Callithrix jacchus: one gene and its partner. The protein of the gene in region 1 binds, or shares a complex with, the protein of each later gene. Links are inferred from orthologs where the notes say so. Each region holds a gene or a part of one and is shown on either strand. Other genes may lie near its edges. The genes, in order: CMKLR1 and RARRES2.

Region 1 (3,803 bases):
CGCAACAATGCAGGTGAGCACACTTTGCACACTGCAGGGATGACATATGCATGACCCATGGAGAGGGTCACATGAAGCTGTGGGGACAAGACTGTACGGGACCCTCTGGCTGCATTTAAGTACTTGACAGGAACCTAAGTTAGAACAGGAAGACCAGCAGAGCATCCAGAAAGAGGGAGGCCAGACTCTAAGGAGGAAAACAGTGGGTTTGAATTGTGCTCCTGTTGATCATCTTTTCTGATGACAACATGAATTCCTGGCTCCCCCAGCCTGGCCTGGACTCCCAGAAGCCCAGGAAAAGCAGCATCCTAGGAGCCAAGAGGCCCAAGTTGCTGATGACTGCTGCTGTGACCTGGGACAGATCCCACACCATCTCGTGCCTCAGTAAACATGGGAAGAGCGATGATGGGGGCCACTGAGCAATATTTAAAGCTCCCTTTTTGCTCTCAAACTGTCTATATTCAAACTCTTTAAAACATTCAGAGGCTCCAGCTTGGGGTCAATTCAGAGCTGCCTTGTCATAAGCATTAAGGCACAACAAGGGAAGGAACAGTTTGTCTTTTAATGAAGTGTGATTCCAAACAGCCCGTGGCCTCGGGAACTCACCCAGCACAGGGTAGACATTGCATCTGTTCGTTGCATCTTGGTGGAGAATCAGCTTAAGGATGAAAGGACTTGGAAGAGAACAGAACGTGGACACTTAGGAGCCAAAGGGACTCGGGCCCACAAGGGACTGCCTCCTGCCAGCCCTCCCTCCCCATTGCCTTCATCTCAGGAGACGCAGGAGGTGGAGCCACGGTAGGGGGCTGTTAATGGCTGCTGAGCAAGCTGGAAGCCAAGTGCATTTTCTCTGCCATGTTGCATCATTTTTGAAAATTATTTACAAAGCTTCTTAAAGGCCATTAAGATGTTCACATTCTTTTGCAGAAGAATCAATATTTATGGTAAAAATCTCCAACCTCTTTAGGTCCTTCCTGACTCTGCAGCCTCATTTGAGCCAGGTAGACTGAGGTTCAAATCCAAGTTCTGGCAGAGACTAGCTGGGTATCTTTGGGCAACTTACTTAACTTCTCTGAGCCTCAGATTCCTCCTGTGTAAAAGGGAAGTTGTAACAGTACCTAACTCAGGGTTGATGTAATGATTAAATGAGAAAACATATGTAAAGTGCGTAATACAAAAAGTGCTAAATAAATGTAGGCTTTCAATACACTAGAATCATCTCCACAGAGAAACTCCAAATAGAGGAAAGGAGTTTCTGGAGCCAGACAGAGCCAGGTTCAGACCTTAACTCTGCCACTGATTAGCTGTGTGATGTTGGGCAACTTACTTTGCCCCTCTGGGCCTCAGCTATGTCATTTGTAAATGGGGCAATGACACTCTGTGCCACAGGGACGTGTCAATATTAGATGAAAAAAGCTATGCCAGGCATCTATATCCAGGAGGTATTTGGTGTCTGCAGCTCGGGACCACAGTTCAAGGAGTCCAGTTTCAGACTCTTTCAAGTGACTGAACCCTCGGACATACTCTTCTTCCAAGTGGACTCTCCAGAGTTGCTTCCCAAAGCTGTATTTTGGACCCATCTCCAAAGGCATTGAGAAAATTAACCAGAAGGAGAAGCCCCACCACCAGTGTTTTATTCTAAGCCCCTCCGGCCAGAGCTGAGTGGATTAGGAAAGGCCGAAAGAATCCCTGTGATGAGGTGAGGGCTGCTGGTGAAGATGCCTGCCACAACCCCACCCCCAGGTAAGAAGGGCAAGGTGAGCTCAGGGGCTGGGGCCACCCTCACCCCACAATAGCTCCAGCGTGAAGCACCATCATCCTGTGATGTTCTAGGGTGAGCTGCTTGATGCCTGCATCTTTTGAAGGTTCTTTTCTTCTTTTGCATTCCTTTGCCAAATCTCAAGTCCTTGTTGCATCCCTCACTTGTCTTCCCTTGCGAAGAGCCCACATGACCTCTCAGAACCTGTTCTCTGTCTTCCTAGCTGATCCAAAAGCCAAATTCACGGTCTATGGAGTTCATGGGCTGATATGGCACCTTCCTCTCCCGGATCACCTATGCGTTTCCACATGCTTTAATGCAGAGGAGTGACTTAAAGGTAGGGCTTTCTGGCCAGTGATAATAGGCCACTCATAATAGGTAGACAAGGGCCAGGTGTGCTCTGTGTCACACTAGGTTTGCTCTGACCTCCCACTGCTCACAGCAGGAATGGACCATGGAGAGTGTCTGTGTCATTCTGGGGCACACACAGTAGGCAGCTTAATCCCACTGCCTCATGCCAATCCCAGTTAATGGCAGTGCTTTTGAGAATTCTTCCTTGTTTACTTTGAGTCAGTCAAGTCTGGTCTCCCAGGAAGCATAAATGGGAGACCAGCCTTGGCTGTGTGGAACACAGTGCATTCTGTCCACTTGGAGAAAGGGGTCCCAGGCCCTGGATTCCCAGTGTAAAACACTGTTCATCCCCATGAAAAATGCAGTGGAAATTGGTGGATGCTAAAGAGGTTCTTGCCTTGATCTTCAGAAGACATATCCTTAAGTGCCCCTGGGTTGAGAAGGTCCACTGAGGGGCTCCCCAGTGAGGCTCATAGCATGCTAGTCTCCCTCTCATTCACTGAAGTCCTCTCATTCATTGATGACATCTTGGTAAAGCTTCTATGGCTGAGGTAGGAAGAGTGGGCTGTGTCTTCACTTAGAGCATTGTCCAGGCGGGAGAAGAGGGCCACCTTGAACTTCTTGAAGTCCTGACCCATGAAAACGTACAAAATGGGGTTTATACAGCTGTTGGCAATGGCGAAGCCAGTGGCCAGAGGAAAACCCAGGGTGAAGACAGAGGTAGGGATGGAAATGTGGTGGAGCTCCAGGAGGTTGAGTGTGTGGTAGGGGCACCAGCAGAAGAAGAAGGTAATGATGATGGTCACAATGATCTTGAAGGGCTTCTTGGTCTTGGCCATGCGGTTGCGCCGCAGTTTGCAGACAATGGTGAGGTAGCAAACTGTAATGATGAGGACTGGGACCAGAAAGCCGAAGAGGAAGCGGGTCATGGTCACCACCAGGTGCCAGTTGTACCCCACACGGTTCACCTGGGGTTGAGCAGACCACAAGGAAGACCCAGCTGCGGACATGCTGAAGTTGTTGAAGCAGGCTATTTTCCCATGATTGTCAGCCGTGTCCCGGAAGACAAGAGATGGGGAACTCAAGAAGAAAGCCAGGACCCAGATGACCATGCAGGCCACGTAAGCCAGGCGAACGCTGCGGTGGTTCTGAGACCACACAGGGAGGAGCACAGAGATGCAGCGGTCGAAGCTGATCATGGTCAGCAGGAAGACACTGGTGAACATGTTGTGGATGAGAAGGAAGTTGCTGATCTTGCACATGGCCGTCCCAAAAACCCAGTGGTAGTCCATGGCGACATAGGTGATATAGATCGGGAGGAAGATGTTGAACAGGAAATCTGCCACTGCCAGGTTAAGGAACCAGACCGTGTTCACCGTCTTCTTCATCTTGAAGGTGGCAATGATAATCACCAGACCATTGCCCAGGATCCCAAGGAAGCAGATGATGATGTAGACCACCACCATGGCGATCCTGGTCACCCTGGCTCCCAAGGGGGCTGACTCCTCCAAAAAAAAAATGGTGTCTAAATAATCAGGGTATTCATCATCATAACTGAAGGAGGTGTTATAATCTTCATACTCCATTCTCTGCAAGAGAAGACAGGGACCATTAGGGGAACCTAGAGCTGGCTTTAAGAGGTTGACCAACACCAGCAAGACCAACAATGTCCTCCCGGGCCCTGAGCAAGTCC
Region 2 (4,464 bases), on another chromosome or scaffold:
AGGCTGTTGGGGTCCTCGCCAGCCCGCTGCACCTTGATGCACTGGTTCTCCTGGTACTCCTTAGGCTCCTGCCAGTGCCCACAACTGTTCAGGCAGTGTGGGAGGGGTGGGCTGTGTCCAGGGGAGTGGGGCAGGCAGTGCTGGTGGAGGGTTGCCAGCATCCTGGGCAGGGACCACCTCTATATCCCCTGGAGACTGTCCGGACCAGGCACAGCACCTTCTAGCCCCCACTTCCCCCTCTCCCCATCCAGCCAAGCTTCGGTCTCGTGACTGGCGCATAGGTCAAGATTCCATCTGTCTTCCCAGACCCGTCCCAGCCTCTCTGCAGCTTTGCCCCTTCTTACCCGCAGAACCTGTGTCTTTGTGGGGCAGTGGATCATCCGGCCCAGAACCTCATTCTCAGAGCCCAGTTTGATGCAGGCCAGGCATTTCCGCTTCCTCTGGGGAGGGGAGCAAAGAATGAGCAGAGGAAAGGGGTGAGGGAGGCCTGGGCATCATGAGGGTGGGAGCCAAGGCTGCCTATTATGGGACCAGCTCCCAGCTAGGCCCTCGAGCCCAGGGGTAAGGAGTCATGCAGGCCAGCGGGTTTCAGGCACAGCCCACCCCAGAATGTTGGAAGCCGGGACCATGCAGCTTTCAAACTATGGAAATTTCGTGTGTGTGCAGGCAGGAGTCCTTCCCAGATAGGTTGTCTGTGGTTTGTGTGCAGGAGTGTGGGGGATGGGTGTGCCTGTGCTCTGCAAAGGCAAGAATCCTCCTCCGATGGGCTCTTCCCACCCAACTCCTCCAGAGCAGCTCAACTGTCACCTATTCTATTTACATTTTCTTGTAAGATTTGATTTGAGGTTGGTGAATCATTGCTATAATCCAGCACCCTCCTTTAGCCGACAGAGAACTGGGGCCTTTACAGAACCTGTAATACAGAGCCCAGGTGGTGCTCACAGGGCAGGAACTAGAACACAGTCACTGCAGTCCCTGCCCAGGCATCGCCCCCATGGTGGTGGGTTTGCCCCCACCGTGGCTGATGACTGGAGCCTGGCTAGTCTACAAGGGCACCAGACACACCCTTACACAGCGGGCTCCTTCCACCCAGGCCCTGAAGCTTGAGAGAGGAACTCAGGTGAGCCCTGCTATGATGAAGGTAAGTCCAGGGGTAACCAAACCCTTTCCCTGCCTGCCAGGCCCCAGCTCGACCACCCTCACAGCCTGGGGCTCAGGCTGAGCCATTCCACCTCTTAGGAGGCTCATCACTCATACCCCTTCACTCACCCCATTGGGCTTGACTTTGCAGTGGGGTTTCTTCCAGTCCTCCTTCCGGCAGTCTGTCTGCTGGAGCTTAAATTCCAGCCTCACAAATATTCCAGCTGGGAAGGGCTGTGGACAGGCAGGCAGAGGATGGCTAGTGGCCAGCTGAGTGTCCAGAGCAAGCCCTGGTGTGACCCGTGCCTCCCTCACACAGTCACATCTCAGCAGACTATCCTGGGGCCTTTCTCCAGAGGGCCCCGCGCTCAGAGCCCATGCATTTCTGTCCTGCTTCTGGGAATGGGCCTGTCTCCCTGGTGCGACCCTCCCCTTCTGCAGGGGCCATGCTACTCACCGTGTCCTCGGCGCTGTACACGCAGATCTTCTGGAAGGTCCACTGCACGGGCGGGTGCTTATGGAATTCCTCCAGGGCCACCTGCAGGCCCCGCTGCTGGGCTTCTGTGAGCCCGGTGCTGCTCGCGCCCACCGCACCCAGCCACAGGGCCAGCGGGATCAGCAGTCGTCGCATGCTTCCGTGTCACCCCGGTCCTGCGGAGCGGGTGTGCGCCCCTCAGTTCTCGGAGCCAGCCCAAGCCGCCTCCTCCCACGCCCTGCCCCGGAGAGCCAGGCCAGCAGAACCCTGGGCGGAGGCGAAGGAGCTGGGAAATGGCTCTTTGTCCAAATTGGCCTTGGGGTCTGCCTGGTCCTCTCTATTCCCTCCCACCCTGCCTGCGCTGTTCCCTGGGGCCTGCAGTTTTAGCAAAGTTCCCTGCCACGCCTGGAATCAATCCTCTGCCCACTCCCACCCTCCACTCCTCATCTGGCTCACTGTCTCTCCCTGGGTCTCCGGCACGACCCCCTCTCCTCCCTGCAGTCCCCGGACCCCCTTTCTGCTTTCCCGGCTCAGCTTCTCCCCCCTCTAGAATCCCCCTGCTCCCATGGGGTGCCCCATTCTCCCGGCCTAGACAGCGGTGGGGAAAGGGCAAGAGCCTGGACCCAAACACGTGGGAGGGCCCGGCTGGGTGGAGGCCGCTGGAGTCCTAACCCTCCGGCGCCAGGGCTGCCGTGGCCACCAGCCTACCCCAGTCCTTAGGAATGGGGGTGGGGGTGGTTAGACCACCCCCACCCCCCATCCCCCCGGCCCTTAGCTTTCCCGCTTCAGGCAAAATCTTCCCTCCTTTCTCTTTTTTCTGGGCCTTCCCTACGACCCCTCTCCCAGCCTTTCTGATCCGTTCCCTGATGCATGACTGAGGCCACCCGGAGGGGCTGACCATCCTGGAGAGCCCCGTCCGTCCTGGGACCCGAAGGCCACAGATGTGGAAACCGAGGTCCCTCAGTGAAGAGCTGCCAGGGTCGTTGCCTTAGTGCAAAGGCGTTCCTCATTCCACCCGCGCAGCTGCCCCTCTGCCCGGCGGCCGCCCCAGCCCACTTCCCCTTCTCACGTCCTTCCTTGTGTCTGGAGGTCTCCCCTGGCCGTCCCGCAGCTGAAATTTTGGCCTCGCTGTCCGCCTCTTCCCGCTCTTCTCGCGGGCGGTCCCCACCTCCTCCCACCCCCACCTCCTGGGCCCCCTCCAGCAACTCCGGCTCCTCCCCACCCGACGTGGACTGGCCTCCTCGGGGCGGGAAGCCCTCCCGCGCCCTCCCGCGCCCTCCTTCCCCATCCCACCCGCCTCCCTCCCCTCATGACCCTGAACCTGGCCGAGGCTGCAGGCGGCTCGGCAGGGCGCGCAGTCCTCGGTCCCACCTCCCCCTGGCTCGGGTCCCGCATTCCGCGGTCTTGGCCGGCCTGGGCCTCTTCTCTGCGGCCGTGCTCCCTCAAGGGCTTTCTGCACCCCACTCCTGCCCAGGCAGGGCTGCCCTATCTTGGGTCCTTTATGGGGGACCATTCCGTAGCGTCCCTGAGACACTCATCCTGGGAATTCTTTCCCGAAATACAGACATCCTCAAACTAAAGGAGACCTCGAAGAGGTCCCTCCCCCTGTTCCCACCTCCCACTCCTTGAGCCACACTGAGAGGGAAGGTCTCTCCTTTAGGGAAGACTCTGTTGCCTGCAGCCTTGATCGACAGCAAAGATGTCCAGTGTGGATCCCGCATCTGTCTTTCCTGACCTTTCCTGTGTCCCATTTTCCGTGGGATAGACTCTCATGGGGAGTCGGGGAGCTTTTGCGTGTGGCAGAGCGGCATGATGGAATTCATAAGGTAAACGGAAACTCAGGGAAAACTGTCCTAATACCGGCTTGATTCCCTGGTACGCTGGAGCAAGGACGAGGAAGCTCTGGGACTTTGCACGTCAGTAACCACCACCACCATGCCTCTAGTTCCCACACTGCACTGATGGCCTCCAGTAGAGGAGCTCATGTAACTTCAAGGCTCTCTCTGAGCTTCTGATTCTTTATCTGTAAGATGGGCATCAGAAACTCTGTCTTGAGGAGTTGTTTTGAGGATTAAATGAGAAAACATGAAAAGCAACTGGTGCCCAGTGTGGGGCACAGGCTTTTGTCCCCTCCTTACGCACTCCCGGCCAGGATTCTCCACTTAGAGCTGAGAGCTTCCTTTACAGCATGCTCTGGGCGCACCAGAAGGAAACTCGGCTTCCATTAGCCACTTCCGGGTGCCTGAAATACCACCACTGACATTTCACTCCCCAGCTATGAGCTCCTCGGCTGTCCTTAAGCAGAGATAAGAGAGGGGATCCATGTTCACTGAAAGCTTTAGATGGGGTTAGAGAGAAGAGATGCACCGAAAGACGTTTCCCAGCCCAAGAACTTGAAGAAAACCAAAGTATTTCACCCCAAAATATACTTATTTGACACATTTCAAGGTGGCTGTTCAGAATGGCTGGAAATAGAATAACCAAAAGCTGATTTGTGGAGAGATCGGCATCTATAGAGGAAATCTGCATTGATGTAGCTACGCTTTCTCTGAGGCCCTTCCTTGTCTGGTTCTAGGAAAGATGAACTGAGAGTCTGACACCTTTTCAGGTCTGAAAGAAACATTTACTGTCCCTTCTTTCCAAGGACTGCTACCTATGAGGTGTCGTTACATAACAAGACTGCCTTTGCTAACCAGGCTTTGTCTTCCCTCCCATCCATAACCTGTCTTGCCACTATTTAAGTCCCCATCTTTGTATAAACTCAAGATGGCGAATAAGCTTCTGTATCCCATTGAGGGGTTGGGGTAATCACTCTGTGGTTCTTTCTCATGCATGTCAATGAATATTTC

The links.
Region 2: the proteins of CMKLR1 (region 1) and RARRES2 are in contact, whole or in part, in a cryo-EM structure (PDB 8ZJG), measured with the Homo sapiens proteins. The link is inferred for Callithrix jacchus from reciprocal best matches to the Homo sapiens genes CMKLR1 and RARRES2. Residues at the interface, in NP_001135815.1 of Homo sapiens: Asp20, Tyr21, Leu22, Asp23, Ser24, Ile25, Val26, Val27, Leu28, Phe88, Leu92, His95, Tyr103, His104, Asn116, Leu119, Ile120, Met123, Arg178, Leu183, His184, Gly185, Lys186, Ser188, Cys189, Phe190, Asn191, Trp203, Thr205, His217; in NP_002880.1 of Homo sapiens: Leu34, Phe37, His38, Phe60, Thr75, Ser76, Cys77, Arg96, Leu111, Gly112, Arg113, Leu114, Val115, His116, Cys117, Pro118, Ile119, Thr133, Leu136, Arg137, Gln139, Arg140, His146, Ser147, Phe148, Tyr149, Phe150, Pro151, Gly152, Gln153.

Annotation. Positions count from the first base shown.
Region 1 is NC_133510.1:111,172,011-111,175,813, forward strand, and holds part of CMKLR1 (chemerin-like receptor 1), read right to left. Parts: intron 3,700-3,803; 5' UTR 3,697-3,699; coding exon 2,581-3,696; 3' UTR 1-2,580. UniProt on the Homo sapiens protein: Receptor for the chemoattractant adipokine chemerin/RARRES2 and for the omega-3 fatty acid derived molecule resolvin E1.
Region 2 is NC_133512.1:97,888,979-97,893,442, reverse strand, and holds the start of RARRES2 (retinoic acid receptor responder protein 2), read right to left. Parts: upstream 2,995-4,464; 5' UTR 2,937-2,994; intron 2,769-2,936; exon of another isoform or gene 2,514-2,768; intron 1,792-2,513; 5' UTR 1,772-1,791; coding exon 1,598-1,771; intron 1,375-1,597; coding exon 1,270-1,374; intron 441-1,269; coding exon 345-440; intron 69-344; coding exon 1-68. UniProt on the Homo sapiens protein: Adipocyte-secreted protein (adipokine) that regulates adipogenesis, metabolism and inflammation through activation of the chemokine-like receptor 1 (CMKLR1). Also acts as a ligand for CMKLR2.